Linked DNA regions of Cricetulus griseus. The protein of the gene in region 1 purifies or fractionates together with the protein of each later gene. This does not show direct contact. Links are inferred from orthologs where the notes say so. Each region holds a gene or a part of one and is shown on either strand. Other genes may lie near its edges. The genes, in order: Top2a, Ssrp1, Smarca4, Znf451, Ctcf and Srpk1.

What was found.
Region 2: the proteins of Top2a (region 1) and Ssrp1 fractionate together in Homo sapiens (co-fractionation; 3 studies listed by BioGRID and IntAct, with this or other methods). This does not show direct contact. The link is inferred for Cricetulus griseus from reciprocal best matches to the Homo sapiens genes TOP2A and SSRP1.
Region 3: the proteins of Top2a (region 1) and Smarca4 purify together in Homo sapiens (affinity purification with western blotting; 3 studies listed by BioGRID and IntAct, with this or other methods). This does not show direct contact. The link is inferred for Cricetulus griseus from reciprocal best matches to the Homo sapiens genes TOP2A and SMARCA4.
Region 4: the proteins of Top2a (region 1) and Znf451 purify together in Homo sapiens (affinity purification with mass spectrometry; 3 studies listed by BioGRID and IntAct, with this or other methods). This does not show direct contact. The link is inferred for Cricetulus griseus from reciprocal best matches to the Homo sapiens genes TOP2A and ZNF451.
Region 5: the proteins of Top2a (region 1) and Ctcf purify together in Homo sapiens (affinity purification with mass spectrometry; 3 studies listed by BioGRID and IntAct, with this or other methods). This does not show direct contact. The link is inferred for Cricetulus griseus from reciprocal best matches to the Homo sapiens genes TOP2A and CTCF.
Region 6: the proteins of Top2a (region 1) and Srpk1 fractionate together in Homo sapiens (co-fractionation; 3 studies listed by BioGRID and IntAct, with this or other methods). This does not show direct contact. The link is inferred for Cricetulus griseus from reciprocal best matches to the Homo sapiens genes TOP2A and SRPK1.

What each region holds. Positions count from the first base shown.
Region 1 is NC_048600.1:112,071,888-112,075,387, reverse strand, and holds part of Top2a (DNA topoisomerase 2-alpha), read left to right. Parts: intron 1-378; coding exon 379-502; intron 503-640; coding exon 641-684; intron 685-1,012; coding exon 1,013-1,147; intron 1,148-2,255; coding exon 2,256-2,455; intron 2,456-2,731; coding exon 2,732-2,860; 3' UTR 2,861-3,500. UniProt on the Homo sapiens protein: Key decatenating enzyme that alters DNA topology by binding to two double-stranded DNA molecules, generating a double-stranded break in one of the strands, passing the intact strand through the broken strand, and religating the broken strand.
Region 2 is NC_048599.1:90,498,068-90,502,217, reverse strand, and holds the start of Ssrp1 (FACT complex subunit SSRP1), read left to right. Parts: upstream 1-1,350; 5' UTR 1,351-1,484; intron 1,485-1,960; 5' UTR 1,961-2,081; coding exon 2,082-2,135; intron 2,136-2,546; coding exon 2,547-2,732; intron 2,733-4,150. Other genes in the region: P2rx3 (P2X purinoceptor 3), read right to left, coding at 1,109-1,139. UniProt on the Homo sapiens protein: Component of the FACT complex, a general chromatin factor that acts to reorganize nucleosomes. The FACT complex is involved in multiple processes that require DNA as a template such as mRNA elongation, DNA replication and DNA repair.
Region 3 is NC_048597.1:134,519,547-134,523,046, forward strand, and holds part of Smarca4 (transcription activator BRG1), read left to right. Parts: coding exon 1-202; intron 203-447; coding exon 448-546; intron 547-1,647; coding exon 1,648-1,906; intron 1,907-3,121; coding exon 3,122-3,248; intron 3,249-3,500. UniProt on the Homo sapiens protein: ATPase involved in transcriptional activation and repression of select genes by chromatin remodeling (alteration of DNA-nucleosome topology).
Region 4 is NW_023276807.1:14,160,683-14,164,689, reverse strand, and holds the start of Znf451 (E3 SUMO-protein ligase ZNF451), read right to left. Parts: upstream 2,801-4,007; 5' UTR 2,604-2,800; coding exon 2,583-2,603; intron 2,044-2,582; coding exon 1,960-2,043; intron 1-1,959. UniProt on the Homo sapiens protein: E3 SUMO-protein ligase; has a preference for SUMO2 and SUMO3 and facilitates UBE2I/UBC9-mediated sumoylation of target proteins. Plays a role in protein SUMO2 modification in response to stress caused by DNA damage and by proteasome inhibitors (in vitro).
Region 5 is NC_048596.1:181,950,439-181,953,938, forward strand, and holds part of Ctcf (transcriptional repressor CTCF), read left to right. Parts: intron 1-827; coding exon 828-961; intron 962-3,500.
Region 6 is NW_023276806.1:233,721,655-233,725,154, reverse strand, and holds part of Srpk1 (SRSF protein kinase 1), read left to right. Parts: intron 1-1,094; coding exon 1,095-1,203; intron 1,204-1,791; coding exon 1,792-1,879; intron 1,880-2,582; coding exon 2,583-2,670; intron 2,671-3,500. UniProt on the Homo sapiens protein: Serine/arginine-rich protein-specific kinase which specifically phosphorylates its substrates at serine residues located in regions rich in arginine/serine dipeptides, known as RS domains and is involved in the phosphorylation of SR splicing factors and the regulation of splicing.

The DNA.
Region 1 (3,500 bases):
TCAAAAAAAAATTGTAGTTAAACTGAAGCATATATATATTCCTAAAATGTTAAGTCAGAGACTAGAGAGATGGCGCAGTGGTTAGGAGCGCTGGCTGTTCTTCCAGAGGATCTGAGTTCGATTCCCATCACCCAGATGGCAGCTCACAGCTGTCTGTAATTCTAGTTCCAGAGGATCTAGCTCCCTCTTCTGGCCTCCATGGGAATCAGGAATGCACATAGTATACAAACATAAATGCAGGCAAAACACTCATGCACATAAAATAAAATGAGCGCTATGATGGCACACGAGTACACACACACACAAACACAAATTTGAAAAACAAAATGTTAAGTCAGCCTGTGTTTAAATGTCTGTATCCTCTTTGGTTCCTAACAGCAAAAGCCAAATTCACGATGGATTTGGATTCAGATGAAGATTTCTCAGGTTCTGATGGAAAGGATGAAGATGAAGATTTTTTCCCACTAGATACTACTCCACCTAAGACCAAAATTCCCCAAAAGTAAGAATTCTATCAACACAGAATTTAGTTGTGACTATTTTGATAGTCGTTGGTGTATTATTGATCTTTGTTTGACACATGTAGAAATGGTTGATTGTCAGGATGCCTTCTCTATGTGTGTTCTTTTTTTTTTTTTAGAAATACTAAGAAAGCACTGAAGCCACAAAAGAGTGCCATGTCTGGTATGTATCTGAGGAAAATGATTAGGTGCTTGGGAGTCTCAGTAAATGTGTGCTAAGCAAGTGTGAGGACCCAACTTCAATCAACAGCACACACCTGTGGTCCTAGCACTCGACTTAGAGGCAAGAGGATTGCAAGTTTAAGGCCAACCTGTGCTACATACAGCAAAGCTCTGTCCCCCAAAAACTAAGAATTTAAAATTCAGCTAAATTCTAAGGGTATTTAAAATATTCCCAGAAAGTTAGTTAAAATGGGAATCCATTGTCAGGGACAGAGTTGCAGGTGGAATATTTTAAATTTTGTGACCATTTCCCTTCCTGTTTGGAATAGGTGACCCTGAAAGTGATGAAAAGGACAGTGTGCCAGCTTCTCCAGGCCCTCCTGCTGCTGACTTGCCAGCTGACACTGAACAGTTAAAGCCATCTTCCAAACAGACTGTGGCAGTGAAGAAGACAGCCACCAAAAGTAAGCCTAGATCTGTTAGAAGGTTGATTACTGGATTAACTGACTTGGAAAAGACAGTTTTAAGTTTTTATTTTGAAAATGTCTACTGATGATGATGAAACTAAACAGTATCCTAATGGAAGTGGTGTCTTTTACATCATTATCAAATAAAAAATAAAAGGTTGTGGGGACTGGAGAGATGGCTCAGTGGTTAAGAGTACTGGCTGTTCTTCCAAAGGACCTGGGTTCAATTCCCAGCGTCCACATGGCAGCTCACAACTGTCTGTAACTCCAGTTGCAGGGGAACCAGCACCCTCATATAGGCAAGACTCCAATAAATAATTATAATCAATAGCCAGGCAATGGTAGCACATAGCTTTAATTCCAGCACTCTCGAGGCAGAAGCAGGTGGATCACTCTGAAAGTATTTTGAGCAGGGCATTGGTAGCAAAAGCCTTTAATCCCAGCACTGGGGAGGCAGAGGCAGGCGGATCTCTGTGAGTTCGAGGCCAGCCTGGTCTCCAGAGCAAGTGCCAGGATAGGTTCCAAAGCTACACAAAGAAACCCTGTCTCGAAAAACAAAAACAAAAGTATTTTGAAATCAGGGCATTACTCAGATTCCAGACATTATCTAGCTCATCTCTATGACATAAGGAAAGAATTTATAAGCAGTTGGAAGTAATCCAATATAAAATAACTTAGAAGCCAGGTGGTGGTGGCTCACACCTTTAATCCCGGCCCTCAGGAAGCAGAGGCATGTGGATCTCTCTGAGTTAAAGACCAGCCTGGTATACAAGAGCTAGTTCTAGGACAGCCTCCAAAGCCACGGAGAAAAATCCCCCCAAAAAAGAGGGGGGGGATAACTTAGAAATCAAAGCTGGGGATGTGGCTCAGTTGGTAGATTGCTGGGCTAGAATTTGTGAAGCCTTGGAATCAATCCCCAGCACAGCATAAACCAGGTGCAGTGGTAAATGTCCCTGGGGCCTTTCTTGCTGGCCAGTCCAGCTTAATTAGGAACTCTAGGTCATTGTGAGACCTTGTCTCAAAAAAGAAGGTGATGTTCAAGATAGTTCACAATGAGAAAACTCACCAAAGAGTGATTATGACCAGTACTCATGTTGACTTACAGGCCAGTCTTCAACATCCACTGCTGGTACCAAAAAGAGAGCTGTACCAAAAGGAAGCAAATCGGATTCAGCCTTGAATGCTCATGGCCCTGAAAAGCCTGTGCCTGCCAAAGCCAAGAACAGCCGCAAAAGGAAGCAGTCCTCTTCTGATGATTCTGACTCTGATTTTGAGAAAGTAGTCTCCAAAGTTGCTGCAAGCAAGGTATTTATTGCTACTTAATCCTTTTGCTCTAGAAACTTGAAATATCCAACTTAGGATTTGCTCTTAATTTTGCATATTTTTAAGGAATTAAATTTAAACCTCAGAATTCGTTATTTTGTACCATGTGTAATTTAGCTGTAGGAAAGTTAAATCTATCAGTTAGTGGAACAGTTGCTTTGGACCTTTTTCTTACTACTTAGTAGGAGGTGCTGGTGAAGTCTGGAGTGATGTGGAATGACCCTATATGCAAATTGCTTGCATTTTTTCTCTTTTTAGAAATCCAAGGGAGAGAATCAGGATTTCCGAGTGGACTTAGATGAAACTATGGTTCCTCGAGCAAAATCTGGACGAGCAAAGAAGCCTATCAAATACCTGGAGGAGTCAGATGATGATGATCTTTTCTGATGGGGAGAGTATTGTTTTAGCAATGGTTTTACTGAGCCCCGTTCATTTTAAAGTTATTTGAAGTTCTTCTCTAACCCCCTCTGAATTTAGTTTGGGGAAGACTTTTTATAAGACTATCCTACGTGGCCATCAGCTTTATATTCTATATACTGTCTCAGTGATGACCATCTCATGACACTGTTTTCTTCTCTGATTTATCTATGTTTTGTGTCTATTTCTTTGGTCTCTAAAATCTTGCTTGAGATTCTTTTGGATTCCACATAATTATATGCTCACTTCAGCATGACAGAATTTATTGATCATATGTTAAGCTAAAATGGGTATGTTTTCAAAAGTGTGCCTCTACCTCCTTTCCTATGTCTACTAAGATATGAATGAGGTAGCAAGGTGTTTCTTTTTCAGTTGTGTAGGTAGAATTCCATCACATAGAACTAGACAGTTCTAGTATGGATACAGTGTTCAACCTATGATTTGATGCATTTTTGTTTCAGCCATAAAAAATTACTCATAACTCTTTTAAACATCATCAGAGTCTGAAGAAAGTCATCTTGACTGTGTCTCCATGATCTCAGTACATGTAGCAAGAAAAAGAGAGTTAGTCTGGTTATGTGGCATCCTGACTTTCCTTATGATACCTTTC
Region 2 (4,150 bases), on another chromosome or scaffold:
CTCTGTCCTCCAGAATCTCATTGTGTCCCTAGCTGATCTCAAACTTGCTATGTCGTTACGTTTCAAACTCACAGTCCTCCTGCCTCAATTTCCTGGAGTGGTGTATACCACTGCAAAGTGGAAATTCACTTACTTCTAACTGCAGTTGGCAGCAGTGGCTGAAACACTTCTTGCTGTATAGAAATTTCTGAATTTTCTTTTTTACCCCCAGGTTACTTGAATCTTTGGTTAGGGTATGTGCTCCTGAAAGGTTGGGACTGTTTTAACCATCTTCAATGGTTTCCTCAAATCCTAGAAATGTGATGCTTTAACAATAGGCTCTCATTACATGTCTTAAACCCAGTTTGACTCAGTTAAATAGTGCTAGAAACAGCAGTGCTTAACCCAGGGGTTAAAGCCACAAATTCTAGATGGCAAGACTGCATTTTGACTGTCTCACATCCCAGGACTGAGTTAGCAAATCAGTGCAGTGATTGTCAGGAAAACCGTGAGTTTAAATATTCTGTCTTTATGCAGGGCACATGCTAGCAATTACTCTAAAGGTTGGACCCTCATGGTTATGATAAAAGGCTGATGTTAAGGAATCTGAATTCCGGGCTCTAGCTTTGATGCCAATGTACTTACACCCTGGGCAAATCTTTTGTGTGTTTCAATTTTCTCATCTGTAAAATGAGGAAGGGCGAGATAAACTCAAGCATCTCTTTCAGACCCGGCTTCAGATTTTGCAAGATGTACCCTGGCGCTATGTGAGGGCATCCGGGTTCTGCCAACTCAGGCTGATGTGGTTTCAAGTAAGTCCTAGCTCAAAGGTAAATCTGACACCAGCACTTGGAAGTTAATGCGGCCATCTGCCAGGCTCTTCCTGAGAACCCACATATTAGGGATATGGATGGGATGATGTTGGGGGTGGAAGGTGAACTCATTTCAGAAAGGATCCGATCCACTTGCCAGGATACAGCTGGAAAGCAAGCACAGTCACCGACACCCGCATTCCGTTTGCGGCTAGTGGGGGCGTCATTTTGGCCATAGGTCTGCATTTTCTCTTTCCAAAAGACTCCTTCCCCGACTATTTTAACAGGAGAGAGGGACATGAATGATTCCAACATACAAACAAACCTGAAAGCCTGATAAAACTTCATAGTTTCTCTTCAGAATCTCCGCTTTTTAGAAGGGTTTGCAACTTTCTAAAGAGAGCTCCCATTTCCTAGTTAACAATTCAGCCGCGTGGGATTCCACAGCAAGACCGTCACTAGCCCAAGGTACCGACGCTCTAGGAGACCGTCCCGTTGGTCCGCCCGGCTGGTGTCTTTCTAGCCAGGTCTTCCTCTCTATGGTTTGTGCGCGACTTCCGGTGGCGGGACGCGGGACCGCGCACGCGGGAAAAGCTTCCCCGGCGTCCCCTCCCCCGCATCCCTACCTCCTCCCCCGCGTCCCCCTGCGCCCACCGCCCGTGCTGTGCCGTCGCGAGGTTGCAGCTCAAAGAGGTGGGTGGTCGCGATCCCGGGTCCCGGGTGTGCATGGGCCCTGCTCCCCCGCGGGACGCTCGAGATGGATCGTTCCGCGTTCAATTTCGCCGGCAGTGGGCGAATCCATATTAAAAGGAGGGGGAGAAACGTGGGTCCAGGGGGTCTCGGGGTGTGGGATCGCTGGGGTCGGGACACTACTCTCCGAGCGAGTTGAGGTGCGCTCTCTGAGCAGGTCCCGGGCTTGCGCCGATTGTTGCCGTGGACTGTCGATGGAACGTCCCGAGAGGGTGTCGGGTTGGGGTGTAAGCGCCACTACAGGCCTGGTTCTGCACCTAGGGTCCTGGGCCTTGGCCTCAGGAACGCTGCAGAGCCGGGTCTGTAAGGTCCTCAGGCGCTGGAGAACTTGAGACGATCCAGTCTAGGCACAGCTATCCATGGGTGAGCGGGGTAAGGTGGTGTCTTTACTTGTTTATCAATCTCCTTCCTGAATTCAGATTCCCACCCTGCTGAACATCTACACACCTCACCAGGAATTGGGGCCCAGCTCCCAGAAAAGGGTTCGTTTGCTCTGGTGCAGCCTAGGGCTCTGTGCTCAGGCCACCAAGACAGGTGAATATGGCAGAGACACTGGAGTTCAACGACATCTTCCAGGAGGTGAAAGGGTCCATGGTGAGAATGACTTGGTCTTTTAGTAAATGTAGAAATCGGGAAGAGTTCGTGTCCATTAAGAAAAGCTTAACCCTGACTGCAGTTTTGGAAATAGGGTATCTGCAAAAGCAGCAGCAGAGTCTCAAGAGTTGTGCTCTTCAGTTTGAAGAGATTGCACGTGTAGATCTATCCTAAACTCCTGTGTTAAAAACCAGGAAACTGGGGTTAACAAGGCTGCGGGTACCAGAGCCAAGCTTTCGGTCTTGATTTGAGGTCTCTTGTGTCTTTTGACTTGATCTCACTCTCACCACTTGAACTGTTGCTTTTCCATTGATAATCTGGCCATCCTGCATCAGCACCACACAGGTGAGGGGTAAAGTGGACCTGCTAACACTGTATCCTGTTCTGAATCTGGCTCTGTATTTTGGACAGAATGATGGGAGGCTACGATTGAGCCGCCAGGGTATCATCTTTAAGAACAGCAAGACCGGCAAAGTGGACAATATCCAGGCTGGGGAGTTGACAGAAGGCATCTGGCGCCGGGTAGCACTGGGCCATGGACTTAAACTGCTTACAAAAAATGGCCATGTCTACAAGTATGATGGCTTCCGAGAATCGGTGAGAGATCTTGTTGCCATGACTCTCTCCTTTTGTAACTGCCCTGTCTTGTTTATTTTTAATCTTCTACAGACAGTTGGTGTTCTGATAATCATGTCATTGCTGGTTTGGGCTCCTCAGAGCAGGGCAACTGGAGACTGTTAAACAAAACACTACTGTCTGTTTTCATTGCAAATGTTATCTTGTGAATTTCTTTGTGCCCGGACTCCAGGTTTTCTCACATCTTGTTTTAGATAGTGGTTTCCACTTGCTCCTTCTGTCCTGGTTCAGAATCTTAGCTCTGAGATTTTGTTTTTCCATTTTGAGCTGTTTGAGTTACTTGTTTTTAATATCCAGTTTCATCAAAAGAGCACCTATACAGAGTTTAAAAACTCAGCAAGGTGATTCATACATCTGGGATTGGAAGTTCCTTTACTCCTCTCCCAACCTGGGTTTTTTTTGGGGGGGTATAAAAAGATATTTTTATTTTTTAAAAAATTATTTTGCTGTGCGGTGTTGGTGCATGCCTTTAATCCCAGCACTCCAGAGGCAGGCCAACCTGTCTAAGAGCGAATTCCAGGACAGCCAGGGCTAAACAGATTAGCCCTGTCTTGAAAAAAAAAAAAACAAACAAAGCAAAAACAAAACATCAAACACGCCTTTAATCCCAGCACTTGGGAGGCAGAGGCAAGCGGATCTCTGTGAGTTTGAGGCCAGCCTGGTTTCCAGAGCGAGTGCCAGGATAGGCTCCAAAGCTACACAGAGAAACCCTGTCTGAAAAAACAAAAACAAAAAAAAACAAAACACCAAAACTAATTTTATGTATATGAGCTTTGCTAGCAAGTATGGCTGTGTATCATGTGTATGCCTAGTGCTCTCAAAGCTCAGAAGAAGGAATTGGAGTTACAGACAGTTGTGAGCCACCATCATGTGGGTGCTGGGGAGCGAACCCAATCTTTTGGGAGAACAAGTACTCTTAACCATGGAGCCATCATGTGGCTAGCAGCCAGACGGTGATGGCTCATATCTTTAATCCCAGCACTGGGAAGGCAGAGGCAGGCAGATCTCTGTGAGTTCAAGGCCTTCCTGGTAAACAGAGCAAGTTCCAAGACAGCTAAGGCTGTTACACAGAGAAACCCTGCCTCCAAAGACAAACAAAAAAGATTAAGGACATCTGTGAGAGCATGGCTGAGGGCATCTGGGTCCCAGAAACAGCCTCTAGTAACAAAGCAAAATTGTTTTTAAACAGTTCTTTCGAGACAGGGTTTCTCTGTGGCTTTGGAGGCTGTCCTCAACGAGCTCTTGTAGACCTGCCTGTCTCTGCCTCCCGAGTGCTGGGATTAAAGGTGTGCACCACCACTGCCTGGCTTTTTAAAGGTTTTGAATTGACATGCTCAGTTAACTATGGTTTCTGATAAAGGATACATTGCTGAACTTTT
Region 3 (3,500 bases), on another chromosome or scaffold:
TACAAGATGTTGGCCCGGGGCCAGCCATTGCCTGACCACCTGCAGATGGCCGTGCAAGGCAAGCGACCAATGCCTGGAATGCAGCAGCAGATGCCAACACTACCTCCACCCTCAGTGTCTGCCACAGGACCTGGGCCTGGCTCTGGCCCTGGCCCTGGCCCAGGTCCAGGACCAGCTCCTCCAAATTACAATAGGCCCCATGGTAAGGGCACTGCCCCTGGAGTGGGGATGGTGTTGTTTGGTTGATAGTGGCAGGCAGCCCTGGCTGGCTCCCAGATGATGGTACTTGGGACTGCTGAGATGGATGGGTTTATGTTGAGATAAATGCTTTTTATCCATCTCTCTGGCATTATTTGTGGTGTGTGGGTGTTCTCTGAGCTGACATGAGCGTAGGCCAGCAGGTTTGAACACAGTGTCATTTATGGTGCTTTATTTCCTTGAATGTAGGTATGGGAGGGCCCAACATGCCTCCCCCAGGACCCTCAGGTGTGCCCCCTGGGATGCCTGGTCAGCCTCCTGGAGGGCCCCCCAAACCATGGCCTGAAGGTGAGTTTCTTTTCTCTGATGGCATGCCCTATCTCCTGTCATGAGCCTGAGCTATGTTGGACCCCAGAGATTGGTCTACACTCCTTTACCCCAGAAGAAGCCTTGGGCTTTTTTGTGGGGTTCAGCTGGGATCTGCAGAGTACTTCCTATCCTCCTTGTCAGGCAGGTGGGGAATGTCCTGCAATCTCCTTACACTAGTCAGCAGAGAAGGAAGGCAGGGAATGTGTCTACTATCTGACTCAAGGAGAATGGCTGGCTATAATTGAACACAGACAAGCTTGCTCAGGACAAGGTACTTCTGAGCTGAGGGGAGAGGTGTGTCCAGCATGGTTTCCTTCTCTCTAGACAGCATTCCCAGTGGAGGTCGGTACTTCTGCTGACTGTGTGTGGCCTTGGCCCTGTCCTCTCAGAAGTGCCTCTGGAAGTTTAGTTGGGTATTTCAAGGTCTATGTTTGGACAGTGGACCTTGCCTGCTCTCTTGGTGTCTGATGAGGTTCATTGTATATTAAAATCTAGTTTGTTTGGATGTGAAATAAGAGCTGTTCTCTCCATCTGAGATAGAAGCTATCCAAGACCCTCAGTGAATACCTGGCATACAAATAGCAGCAAAACACACTGCCTGTGATGACGTTTTGTTCATCAGACAGTGTCATGATAGAGTAAGCTGGAATGTGTTCAGGACAGTGTACACTGAAGTTGCCTTTGTGGTGCTGCTGTGAGGAAACGGTGAATGATGCAGACGTATAATTTGGGTGTAGCTATTCAGAACATCACTCAATTGAAACCTAGCAATAGTTTGTTCCTGGAATTTTCCATTTAATATTTTTAGACTGCCATTGACCAAGGGTAATTGAAATGTTAGAGATGAATCTACTAAAGGGGAGGAGTGGACTGCTTTAGAGGAAAGACAGGGGCATGCTGTCCCTATGAAGCCAAGCACAGATAAACCAAATACTGGATGGTTAGGTCTCAGGTGTGGGAGAGCTGAGCTGGAGGATGGGGGTGTCTAGATTCTGGCCTGGGTGAGAGAGAAGTGGAATGTCTGGAAGGGCAGTCCCATGGCCCCAGAGTTCAAGCAGCATATCCCGCTTGCCTCTCCAGGACCCATGGCCAATGCTGCTGCCCCCACAAGCACCCCACAGAAGCTGATTCCCCCCCAACCAACAGGCCGCCCTTCACCTGCACCTCCTGCTGTCCCACCTGCTGCCTCTCCTGTGATGCCGCCACAAACACAGTCCCCAGGGCAGCCCGCCCAGCCTGCTCCATTGGTGCCTCTGCACCAGAAGCAGAGCCGCATCACCCCCATACAGAAGCCCCGGGGCCTGGACCCTGTGGAGATCCTACAGGAGCGAGAGTACAGGTAAGCACCCAAGTGCTACACTGCCAGTGTTGATTGCCAGGTACCAGGGGATGTTCTTCATCTCTTTCTTAGGCTCATGGCTGTCCTAGAACTTCTGGCCATCCAGGCCTCACTGCTGAGGCACCTGATACTGCTCCCTTTCGGCCTTGCACTTGCTGCTGTGGCGTTGCTGCTGGTTCTTACTGCTTTCTTTATTCCTGTATAGAAGTTCTTCTAATGGGACTGTGAGCCACAAGAGAACAGGCAACATTTAGCCCCTGTTTACTGTTAAGGCTCCACATGAGAAAACTGCCCTGGTGCACATAGTAGGTACAGGGTTAGTGGGCGTGCGTGCATGATATATCCTTAGCCTGCAGACAAAACATTGATGCCCATGGAGATTCCCACAGCCCTGTGTGTCATGCTGAAACTGGATTGCCTGATGTCACAGCTCATTGCCCATGTGGCGTTAGCACCTAGCTAAGTCACTGTTCTAATTTGCTTTTCTATTGCTCTGATAAAATACTGACCAAAGCAACGTAGAGAGGAAAGGGTTTATTTCACCAAAGACTTCCAGGTAACAGTCCATTCCTGAAGGAAGTCAGGGCAAAACAGTACCTGATGCAGAGACTGGAGGAACAGTGCTTACTGGCCATGTCCCAGCTCATGCTCAGCTAGCTTCCATCAGACCTACCTTTCTAAGAATCCTGTTGCCCACAGTGGGCTGGCCCGTCTGATCAAGGCAGCTTTACACTTGAGGTTCCTCTTCCCAGGTGATTCAACGTGTGTCAATAAGGATGGTTAAAGGCTTGCTGTGGTCCCAGCAGGTGTGTTCTCAAGAGTACTCTTAGGCTGCTTGCCTCTGTTCTGTTGTAACTGGAGTCCCTTTCTCAGGTGTCATATCTCTTACAGTTGGGCTGGGTCTCCCTCCTTTGAAGGACAGATTTTTTTTTTTTTTTTTTAGATTTATTTATTATGTATACAATGTTCTGTCTGCATGTGTCCCTGCAGGCCAGAAGAGGGCACCAGACTTCATGGATGGCTGTGAGCCACCATGTGGTTGCTGGGAATTGAACTCAGGACCTCTGGAAGAACGGGCAGTGCTCTTAATCCCTGAGCCATCTCTCCAGCCCAAAGGACAGATTCTTTACAGACTCTAGCTTTAAAGACAGAGACCAGGTGATTACTTGCAGATGGATAGTCCTCACCGCTTGTCCTTTTTCTGTCTCTGCCCAGGCTGCAGGCTCGAATTGCACATCGAATTCAGGAACTTGAAAATCTTCCTGGGTCTCTGGCTGGGGACCTGCGAACCAAAGCAACCATTGAACTCAAGGCCCTTAGGTTGCTGAACTTCCAGAGGCAGGTGGGTCTGGTGGCCTCAACTCTGGGCTCATGAGGCCTTTTCTGCCAGTGAAAATGCTGGGTTCTCAGAATGCTTTGAGGGATGTTATCTGGGATACCTGTGTGGTTGGGGCTATCAGGGTCCCAGGAGAGTTGGTTCACTATCATGGCCCACACTTCAGTAAGACCTGGCCATGCATATCCTGTGCATACACAAGTGTGGGCTCCTGAAAGGCAGGAGGCTTGTTGAGTCTCTTCCTGAGGTTTCTGTGCT
Region 4 (4,007 bases), on another chromosome or scaffold:
AATGTATCTTAAAATGAAACTATCACTAATCATAATTTAAATGATAGCACTTACATGCTCAGGCAAAGATCTATATACATTATAATACTTTATTCTTGATGCAAAGGCAGAAGTACCTTTGTACATTTAAAATAAAATGTAAATAGTACTTTTAAAATTCGTATCAACAAATACCTGAATTAACTAGTTACAAGCTATGTTATTTTATTTCACAAGATATAAAACAAAACATTTACCCCCACCCTGACAGGGTATCTCTGTGTAGACCTGGCTGTCCTGGAACTCACTTTGCAGACCAGGTAGCCTCAAACTCATGAGACCCATCTGCCTCTGCCTCCGAGGGGTGGGAATAAAGGGGTGTGCCATCACGTCCAGCTACAACTTACTCTTTGAACCTTACTCTTTACATATTCTATCAATTTCTCAAAAGGCCATATTTTATAATGAAGAGTTACTCCTTTTCTCTTACATGAAACATCAAGGTAAATATTCTGTTCATAAAAACTGTGATTCAGGAAGAATCTGAAATATTGGTCCTAAGGAGTCACTAAAACCTTTATTATAACACATTCATTACCAACATTCTCCTTTCTCCAAAATACTTCGGTTTGCTATGAAAAAAGGAACAAGACACAATGTATCTGCATACCTCAGTCCAGATCCTCAAAGTTGAAAATGAAAAGGACAGAGTGAAATGTGCAATGGAAAAACTGCCAAGAAAATAATTTTATGAGGACTTCCCTCAAAACCCCACTAAAACACCATACACAATGGATTGCCACAATGGCTCAATGTTGAGTAGGATCTTCTTCACAGATCACTATTTTATAGTTAGCCCAAACTTCCATATCCATATCAGGTGAACAATAAAGAACTATACAGTTTTATAATAGGCTGTAGCTAACTACAGCATTTCAGGAGAGCTGTAAAGAGCTGTAAGAGCAGGGACATTCTCTGGCTAGCTACTACTTTAAGAAGAGCCCAACATACAAACTTAACCACAGGTGAAAACCACCCAAAGCCGTTTGTCTTCCCCTTAATCATCACTTTATGAAGGTTGAGAGATCCAAATGTCCCAAGTTGTATTCCAAAATGACAATACCTAGGTTCCGCCCTGAAGTCCTGATTCAACAGATCTGGAGTGGGCCCAGGAATCTGCCTGCTCACAGTTAATGCTGGAAAACTACTGTCCCCAAAGGAATAAATTTAGAAAAACACAGCAATGCTCCAGGTGATGCAGGACTCCTCATTGTGACCAGCAATTGTACTGTGCTGTAACAAAATGACCTCAGAAATTAGGGACATCCTCAAGCTATCCTAGAAGATATACCACACTAAGATGCTGGGCTCCTCTTTGTTTGTTGTTGGTTGTTTTTTGATTTGGGGGGGGGGGGGATTCGAGATTGGGTTTCTCTGTGGCTTTGGAGGCTGTCCTGGAATTAGCTCTTGTAGACCAGGCTGATCTGGAACTCACAGAGATACGCCTGCTTCTGCCTCTCGAGTGCTGAGATTAAAGGCGTGTGCCAAAACCGCCCGGCAGACGCAGGGCTCTTTATAGCCCTTTCCTACTTCCTCGACATTAACTAGTCCTCTGTATATACATTTGGAATGCATTCTTGCCTCATTTCAAAACAAAAAAACAAAAAGCAGTCTTAAGAGACCAGACTTCAGTCCCAAGAACAAAACGGACACACTTAAATAAAGATCTGGGAGGGGCCATTGCATGCATAACAATTCTTCAGGCCATCCACTTTGTGATGCCTACTGTAATTGTTCCGGTATCCCTTCAGGTAAGCATCCAAGCATCTTTTCAGGTAAATGTCCTGTTCACCATTGTGTGGCAGCTATTCGACATTCATGACTATCTGTTGAGTGATGAATGTATGGTGAGGTTTAATCACACAATGGCTTACCATACTCTTTCAGTCCAGAAAACCGCGATTGTCAGCCTCTACTTACACTAACAAACTGAATGTCATCTTCATTTTCATCCGTTGTTGACTCAGATGCCTCAGGCCCAGCTGGTGGGGCAGATTCTATTATCTATAAACAAAAGCCAAAACACGCTTATCTACGCGGTCACACACTCGTAGAAGAAAAAAAAAATTTCTCCCCCCAAAAGAAACGAGTTAAGACAAAAGCCCCAGAGGGAACAGCGCGCATCACGCACAAATCCGACTCACAGAACTGCATGGAGGCGGGTTTTGCTAAGGCGTCTCGGAGCTGCAGAGACCTAGCCTTCCCAAGCGAGTTGCCACAATTCCCCTCCCCGCCTTCTCCAGGTGCAGGGATGCAGGCTCTAAACCTCCAGGATCCGGGGATTGCAGGCTTGTAAGGCAACGACGGCCTGCCTCTAACCGTCTCTCCCCCTCAGGGCTGCGGCTGCCACAGCTAGGGCGGCCGGGGGCTGGGGGCTGGGGGCGGCCGGACCGCCATTGTTGAGGGCTCCACGCAGACGTGCACAGGCCTGGAGGCCCAGCAATCGCCGCAGGCCGCGGCCCACCTGAGGCACCCACGGCCTAGAAGACAAACCCTTCGGGGTCGGGCTCGGCCGAGCCAAGGCCCGGGCCGCCACCACTCACCTCCGGCCCTGGGTCTCCCATTTCTCCCACGGTCTGTCAGCACCACGCTCCCGCCACTGCTGCTGTTCCCGACGCCGCCGCCACGACTTCCCTCTCGCCCTGCGCCGCCCGACCCGCCCTGCGTGAGCGCCCACGCAGATGACGCCTCAGGCCGCGGGGACGACGCCGAGCCGCTAGACCTCAAGCGCGGCCTCGCCGCCGCTAGCTTCCAGCGCCGCTTTGTACGCTCCCCGCCTTCCTCCCGCCCCGCAGAGGATCCTGGGAGTTGTAGTTTCCGCCGGCCTCGAAGCCGCCGACCGCGTGGCAGGGAAAGCGGGCGAGGACCTGGAGCATGGCGCTCACCTGCAGCTCCGGAAGATGGAGGAGGAGGCGGCGAGGGTCTTGACAGAGTTTTGAGTCCACGCAAAATCTCGGTCTGCTGCCGCCTTTTACTTGGGAGACACTGGCAGGGAAAGAGCGCCACTGCAAGAAGCGGGGAGGATGGAAAAATGGAGGACTTTTTCCTTTTATATCTTGGCAAGGGTGGCAGATGCAGAAGCTTATATGGCGTTTCTGAGAGGTCGTTAATTCTTGCAGCAGTCTCCCAAAGTGGCTTCCTTGTTCACAGGTCTCTAGACGACCCATAATTCCTGTAAACTAAAAGAAGCATTACTGATTAGGTCCCATAGTGCTGCCAGAGGTCTTTCATGTTTGTCTCTTGCTCTCTTCAGGCTAGGCTGAGCTGGTTCCTTAATTACTTGGAGAGTGGGACCCAGAAGTCTAGGCAAAAGAGGACCAGTGGAAAACAGACCTGGTAGTGTTCAGCTAATCTGTTCAGACCTTAATTGCTCCTACTGCCATAAAAGCAAAGCTCAGTGGTCTTTGCTTTGGGCCAGAAGGACGGTGACTGGAAATAATTTGTTGCCCTTTTCTCTCTCTCTCTCTCTTTTTTTTTTTTTTTTTTTTTTTGGATTGAGGTATGGAGTGGGTAGGTTTAGGTGAAGTCCAAGATGTGATGCCCTCTTAGGTAGTCACCTTTCTTATGGCTAACGCCAGCGCACCAGCAAGTATTGAATCTTGCTGAAGGACCAGATAGAGGAGCACAGCTGGAGTCCAGGGTTCAGCAGGAAAGGAAAAGCGCCAAAGACAGACTCCCTTCGTTAGGAAATGAACAGTGGCATTGTATTGTACCTTTTCAAGATATTCCCAGGCTCTATAAAATAAAACTGAACTTGTAAAAGTTGACTCATGCATTAGTCAAAACAACTATGGTTTTAAATTTTTTTCTCAAATAATGACTTGGAACAAAAGCCTTTTTAAAAAAATATATAAACAGAGGCTGGAGAGATGGCTCGGAGCTTAAGAGCACTCACTGGCTGCTCTTCCAGAGGACCTGAATTGAATTCCCAGCAATCATATGATGGCTCACAACCATCCGTAATGAGA
Region 5 (3,500 bases), on another chromosome or scaffold:
CAGTAGTTAAAAGCACTGACTGCTGCTCTTCCAGAGGTCCTGAGTTCAATTCCCAGCAACCACATGGTGGCTCACAACCACCTTGAATGAGATCTGATGCTCTCTGCTGGCATGCAGACAGAAGACTGTATACCTAATAAATAAATCTTTAAAAAAAGAGTTCAAGGCCTGGGTTATAAAATTATGTATTGAGACCCCATCTTTAAAAGAGAAAGAAAGAACAAAGAAAATCATTTTGGCAGGTGTCTGGTCTAGTACTTGGCATTGTGATTTTTTTTTTCCTAAATACATTCTTTTTTTTTTCCCCTTTTCATTTTTCAAGTTAAGATTTGTCTGTATGGCCCTGGCTATTCTGGAGTTCACTCTGTAGACCAGGCTGGCCTCCAACTCAGAGATCCATATGCCTCTGCCTCCAAAGTGCTGGCATTGAAGGCGTGCACCGTCACTGCCTGGCTAGGAAGGATTTTTCTATTCAATAAAATAGCAGAAACTAGGGCTGGAGAGATGGCTCAGAGGTTAAAAGCACTGACTGCTCTTCAGAGTTCAATTCCCAGCAACCACATGGTGGCTCACAGCCATCCACTATGAGATCTGGTGCCATCTTCTGGTGTGCAGATAGACATGGAAGCAGAATGTTTTATACATAATAAATAAAATCTTAAAAAAAAAATAGTAGAAACTAAAGTTTAGCATGTGTCCTCACATGCTACAGGCTAATGCTAAAAATTCATTCAGGCCTTCCTGTAGCTTGTACAGCTTATGCAACAGCTTTGAGTCACACATTGAACCCTGTCATTTACTGTGCCCTTAATTCTTTCTTCCTTTAGGTACTCGTCCTCACAAGTGCCCAGACTGCGACATGGCCTTTGTGACCAGTGGAGAATTGGTGCGGCATCGTCGTTATAAACACACCCACGAGAAGCCATTTAAGTGTTCCATGTGTGACTATGCCAGTGTAGAAGTGAGTGTCTAGTTTTTTTTTTTTTCTTTTGTTTTTTTTTTTTTTCTTTTTTTTAAAGAAGCTGTTTTGGATATGTTAGCATTACCACGGTTTTTTTTTTTTTTAAGATTTTATTTATTTATTATGTATACAACATTCTGCTTCCATGTATATCTGCACACCAGAAGAGGGCACCAAATCTCATAACAGATGGTTGTGAGCCACCATGTGGTTGCTGGGAATTGAACTCAGAACCTGGAAGAGCAGTCGGTGCTCTTAACCTCTGAGCCATCTCTCCAGCCCCCTTTTTTCTTTTTTTTTTTTTTTTTTTTGAGAAAGAGATTTCTTAGACTTTTTTTGTGTGTGTATATAAGAATACCAATTTCAGCTACACAGAGAAACCCTGTCTCGAAAAACCAAAAAAAAAAAGAATGAATGAATACCAATTTTAGGGCTAGGTATGTTAGTATACTTCTTCAATCCAAGCACTTGGGAGGCAGAGGCAGGTAGATTAAGGACAGCCTGGTCTACGTAGTGAGAACCAGGACAGCCAGGGTTATATAGAGAGACCCTATGTCAAAAAACAAAAAATTCCATATATTAGTACAAGAAAATGCTCTTATGCATTGAAGAAATAACTACTCATTTAAAAATGGAAGATTTGGTGTGTATCCCTTTAATTCTAGCATTGGGTAGCTGAGAATTATGAGTTTGGCATTACTTGGACTGGGTATTGAGTTTGAAGCATACTGGAATATAGTTAAGACTCTGTTTTAATAATTGCAATGATGGAAGGTTTGAGGTTGGAGCTATAGATCAGTGGTACAGTGCTTGCCAAGCCCCAGCATTCATGAGGCTCTGAATTTGATTCCCATCACTTAGAGAAAAAAGGAAGGTAGGAACCATTATTGACTTCATTATTTGAGTCTACCCTACTACTCAAACTGGATAAGGATGCTACCAAAATGGGGGGGATGGTGTGCAACCAAATCTAGTATTATATTGAAAAAAATAAGTTGTTGTTAAGTATATCCAAAACAAGACTATTTCAGTAGTCTGTATTTCTTTATAGGTAGCTGGAAAAGGGACAATAAAATTCAATTCTCATCACTGTGTGAAGTCCTAACAAGACTAGGGAAAAGCCAGAGTAAATCCATGTTAATTAACTCTGAATCACTGAAGTGATCCATCATGCCTGTAATTCCAGCACTGAGGAGGTTAAGGGGAGGTAGATTACTGCAAGTTTTAAGCTAGTCTTGGGTATAGATTGAGACCCTCTCTTAAAAAAAAATCTAGGATCTTTATTACAGCTTATTGAAGAAAATAAGTATGATATATATTATAAGAAGACAAAATTATTGTTTTTAATTATTTGACACAGGGTCAATATAGACCAGGCTGGTCTGTAACTCAAGAGAAATCTTCCTGCCCCTGCCTCCTGAGTGTCGGGATTAAAGGCCTATTCCTCCATACCCAGCTGTTTGGGCTTTTGTTTGTTATTCTTTCCTTTTTTTTTTTTTTTTTTTTTAATATTATTATTACTGGGAGTCGGGCATTCCTGCCACTCAATCAGTTTTTTTCCTTCAACCATGTGGATCTTGAAGATAAAACTCAGGTCACCAACAAGTGCATTTACCCACTGGATCGTTTTTTGCTAATCCCTCAAAATGTTATCTCTTACAAATCAAATTCTTTTTCCTTTTTTTTCTTTTTTTTTCTTTTTTTTGTTTTTTTTTTTGTTTGTTTGTTTGTTTGTTTTTTGGTTTTTCGAGACAGGGTTTCTCTGTGTAGCTTTTGGAGCCTATCCTGGTACTCGCTCTGGAGACCAGGCTGGCCTTGAGATCCTCCTGCCTCTGCTCCCTGAGTGCTGGGATTAAAAACGTGCACCACCAACGCCCAGCACAAATTCTTTTTTTAAACCTTAGAGAATATCAACTAGTATTAACTGAAGACCTTAGAATAGGGAGAATTCAGTGGAGAGAGACCAGATAAAGAAGTATACAAAAGTAAAAAATTCTGTGCATGAACCATTGGTTGAACACACTGCAACATGTTATGCCAGTGTACAAGTTGTGTATCCCTTATCAGTGATGCTTGTCATGAAAGGTGCTTCAAGCATTTCCCCAGGCTTTGTGGGGGTTTTTGTGGTTGGCAGGGGGTTAAGATTTATTTTTTTTTCTAACTATATATGTATGTGTATGTGGTGATTTGGTACACAGGAGTGCTGGGGCCAGAAGAAGTTTGGATCCCTTGTAGCTGGAGTTACAGAGTTTTGGTTGTGAGTTGCTATGAACTTAGTGTGGGTCCTTAGAAGAGTGGTACACACTCTAAACTACTGAGCTGTCTCTCCAGCCCCCCGCCCCCTTGTTTTGGAGTTTAGACTATTTGCATAAATGTACTGACATCTTGGCAAAGGGACTGAAGTCTAAGCATAAGATTGTGCACACAAACTGGAGATAATTTTATGTAGTTACTTACAGTGTACCTGTATTTTTACTGTGACCCATCACATGAAATCAGTGTTGGATTTGCTAATTGCTGCTTGTCAATTCTTAATTTG
Region 6 (3,500 bases), on another chromosome or scaffold:
TGCACTCCTTTAATCCCAGCAGCCGTGAGGCAGAGGCAGACAGATCTCTATGAGCTCAAGGCCAGCCATGTTTACAGATTGAGTCCCAGGACAGCCAGAGCTATGTAGATAGACCCTGTCTCCCAAAATAAACAAATGAAAATTAGGAAAAGATAAATCTTTTTTCCCCTTTGAAAGTAGCAGTCCATGTTTACCTTTGAAAATGTCAGAGGTGAGGTACACTGACTGCTACAGCTGGCCTTGTGTGCTGGGATTGTAGGCGGGCACCACCACATTCAGCTGGTACATAATTTTACACACCAATCCCACCCCCTCCCTCCTTTTTTCTGCAGACAGATCTCATAACGGATGGTTGTGAGCCACCATGTGGGTGCTGGGAATTGAACTCAGGACCTCTGGAAGAGCAGTCAGTGCTCTTAACCTTTGAGCCATCTCTCCAGCCCCAGTACATAGGTTTTTAAAAATACTTTTTCTCATGGTGATGGCAGCTGAGTGTAACTGGGCAATCAGATCCAGCTGCCCTGTGTTTCTGGTGAGCCTCCCCTCGTCTTTAGGATAGACAGCGTAGAGAATCTCTGTGCTGACTAGGAGAATGTGGACCTTTTCCCAGCAAGCATTGTCTGTGTACCTGAGGTAGCCCTCTCTGTTGCTTCCCTTTTTCTTTTTCTTTTTCTTTTTTTTTTTTTGTTATTTTTTGTTTTTTTGTTATTTTTGTTTTTTTTGTTTGTTTGTTTTTGATAGGGAGGACAGGGCTGGGTCTCGTTGTGTAGCTGGCTTGGAACTCCCATGTTGGCCTATATCTAGAAGAACAGATCTTACTGATTTCTGATTTTCAGTTAAATCAATGGTATTATTATTCTTCCTTTAAACATTTATGTGAGATGGCCAGTATTTGTTTTGTAATAGATCTGTTGGGTTTTGGAGGGACCCGAAATATTGTGGGCTGTGACCTCACAGAGAGCTGAGTGACAACAGTAGCTTTGAAGGAAGGGTCTCATGTTGAACTGATCTCAAAGATATTAGTAAATGGTGTGTGACTGCTGCAGGAGAGAGCGCTTTGTCCTGGTTCCTCTGATTACCCCCATCTTTTCCAGGAGGTTATCATCTTGTGAAAATCGGAGATCTATTTAACGGGAGATACCATGTGATCCGAAAGTTGGGCTGGGGACACTTTTCAACAGTGTGGTTATCATGGGATATTCAGTAAGTTTATGTGGCTCTGGGAAGGAATTAGATAAACCTTGATGTTTCTGACTTCTAAGAGATGATCTAGGTCTGTCTCTAGGTTGATTCCCTTTTTTAAGTTTCTTTTTATTTCATAGTTAGCATTCACATGCTAATTACACATATTGGCTTTCATTATGACACAAGTTCCTGCAGAGGCATGGTCAGCTTACCAGTCTGCACCACTGAGGCAAGAGATGGACTAAATCAATGTCAGTAAAGCTGGTGGCACTGCCAGGCTCAAGTCTGTACACATATTTAATGCTGCATAATAGAAAATCATTGGTTTAAAGTTAAATTTCCAGGTAATTAGACTGACCAATGAAAAATTATTTTACTGTAACATTTTCTTAACTGTGGTGTAGTTTTTAGCTGTTCCCGTAATCAGAAGGTGGACGTTAACTTCAGAAGATGTCCAGTGTCTGAGATTGCCTGGCATGGCTTCTTTTAGCTCAGTTTGTGCCACTCTTAGACGCACAATAGTCTTCATTTTCTCAGTTACCATTAGACTTTTAGCTATAAAGGTGAAGGTCAGATAATTTAGTCTGAATTGTCTGTTTTTTTTAGGGGAAAGAAGTTTGTGGCAATGAAAGTAGTTAAAAGTGCTGAACATTACACAGAAACGGCACTAGATGAAATCCGACTGCTGAAATCGGTAAGTTTGAGGTCACCATGTGGCCATGGTGCCTCTGCCAGGTCTCAGCATCACGTAGACTAGGGCTAGTGCAGACTCAGGGGCTCCTTGGAGCCATAGAGGAAGATATTTGTTTCCTGCATGTTATAGGCATTGATAAATGCAGTGGTTAGCATTTATCAAGTGTGCATGTTGTATGTGACACACAGCACTGCTAAGAGTGTCAAAAGAAAAGTTCATCCGTTTGTAGTACCCGCTTCATGTTATAAAAACGTAGCCTGCCTGGTGTGGTGGTGCACGCCCTTACACCCTGCACTTGGGAGGCAGAGAGCATGCTGATCTCTTGAGTTAGAAGCTGGCCAAGGCTGCACAGTAAGACTATCTAAAGAAACACAGCCTAGAACGGCAGTTCTCAACCTTCTACAATTGTAAATGTTGTGCTGACCCCCAACGTCAACATTATTTTTGTTGCTACTTCATGACTGTAATTTTGCTACTCATACAAATCATAATGTAAATATTTTGGAGATAGAGGTTTAACAAAGGGGCTGTGACCCATAGGTTGAGAACCCCTGACCTAGAACAAGTCTAGTGTCTTTGATTGGGTTTACCTGGAAACACAAGTTTATCTTACCTGTCTTCTCCTTTCTGTGGTGAACTGGGTAACAGCAGTAACTTCCCTGGATTGCTCCACTTGTGCTAACATGGATTCTTCCCAATACAGGTTCGTAATTCAGACCCGAATGATCCAAATGGAGAAATGGTTGTTCAGCTTCTGGATGACTTTAAAATATCAGGTGTTAATGGAACACGTATCCTTTAAGAATTCAATTTCAATTGTATTATTTTTAAATTGTGTGTATGAATGTGTTGCCTGCATGTATGTGTGTGCCCCACATGTGCACAGTGCCTGCAGAGATCAGAAGAGGGTGTCTGATCATCTGGAACTGGAATTACAGACAGTTGGGAGCTGCCATGTGGGTGTGGACATGGAACCCAAGTCCTCTGGAAGAGCAGTCAGTGCTCTCGATCACTGAGCCATCTCTCCAGCCCTCAGTTTTATTGAGAGAGTGTGTGTGTGTCAGAAAATAGCTCTCTTCCTGCATGGGCTCTGTGGATGGAACTCAGGATAAAGGACATAGCAGTTGATCAGTCAGCAAGCACTGAGTCACCAAGTTATCTTATTCTTAATCAACCAGGGGATAATTCATTGCCAAAGAAAGATGCAGGTTTGTATGCTCGAATCTGTGTCCTTGTTGGAGGTAAATAGTAATAAACTCATTTTCTTTGTTTTGGGCTTCAAGACACAGGCACCAGTTATGGCTATTTCTGTGTCCTCTTGAGAATATACTCATTCCCCTTTTCAGGAACATCAAGATCTAAAAACAATGTGTAGCTTTGTGGTTATTAAATAAAGGTCCTATACTTTTTAGGGATGAGCACAGAAAATTTTAAGGGATGTGCTTTTTTTTTTTTTTTAAATAAAGACAAGGACTTACCATGTAGCCCTGACTTTGACCTCACTATGTAGTCTAGGCTGTTCTTGAATGGAAATCCTCCGTTCACAGCCATCACATTTTTTTTTTTTTTCATGAAAAATAATGCTATATAAGAATTTTAAGGTACTTTTGTTTCATCAAGC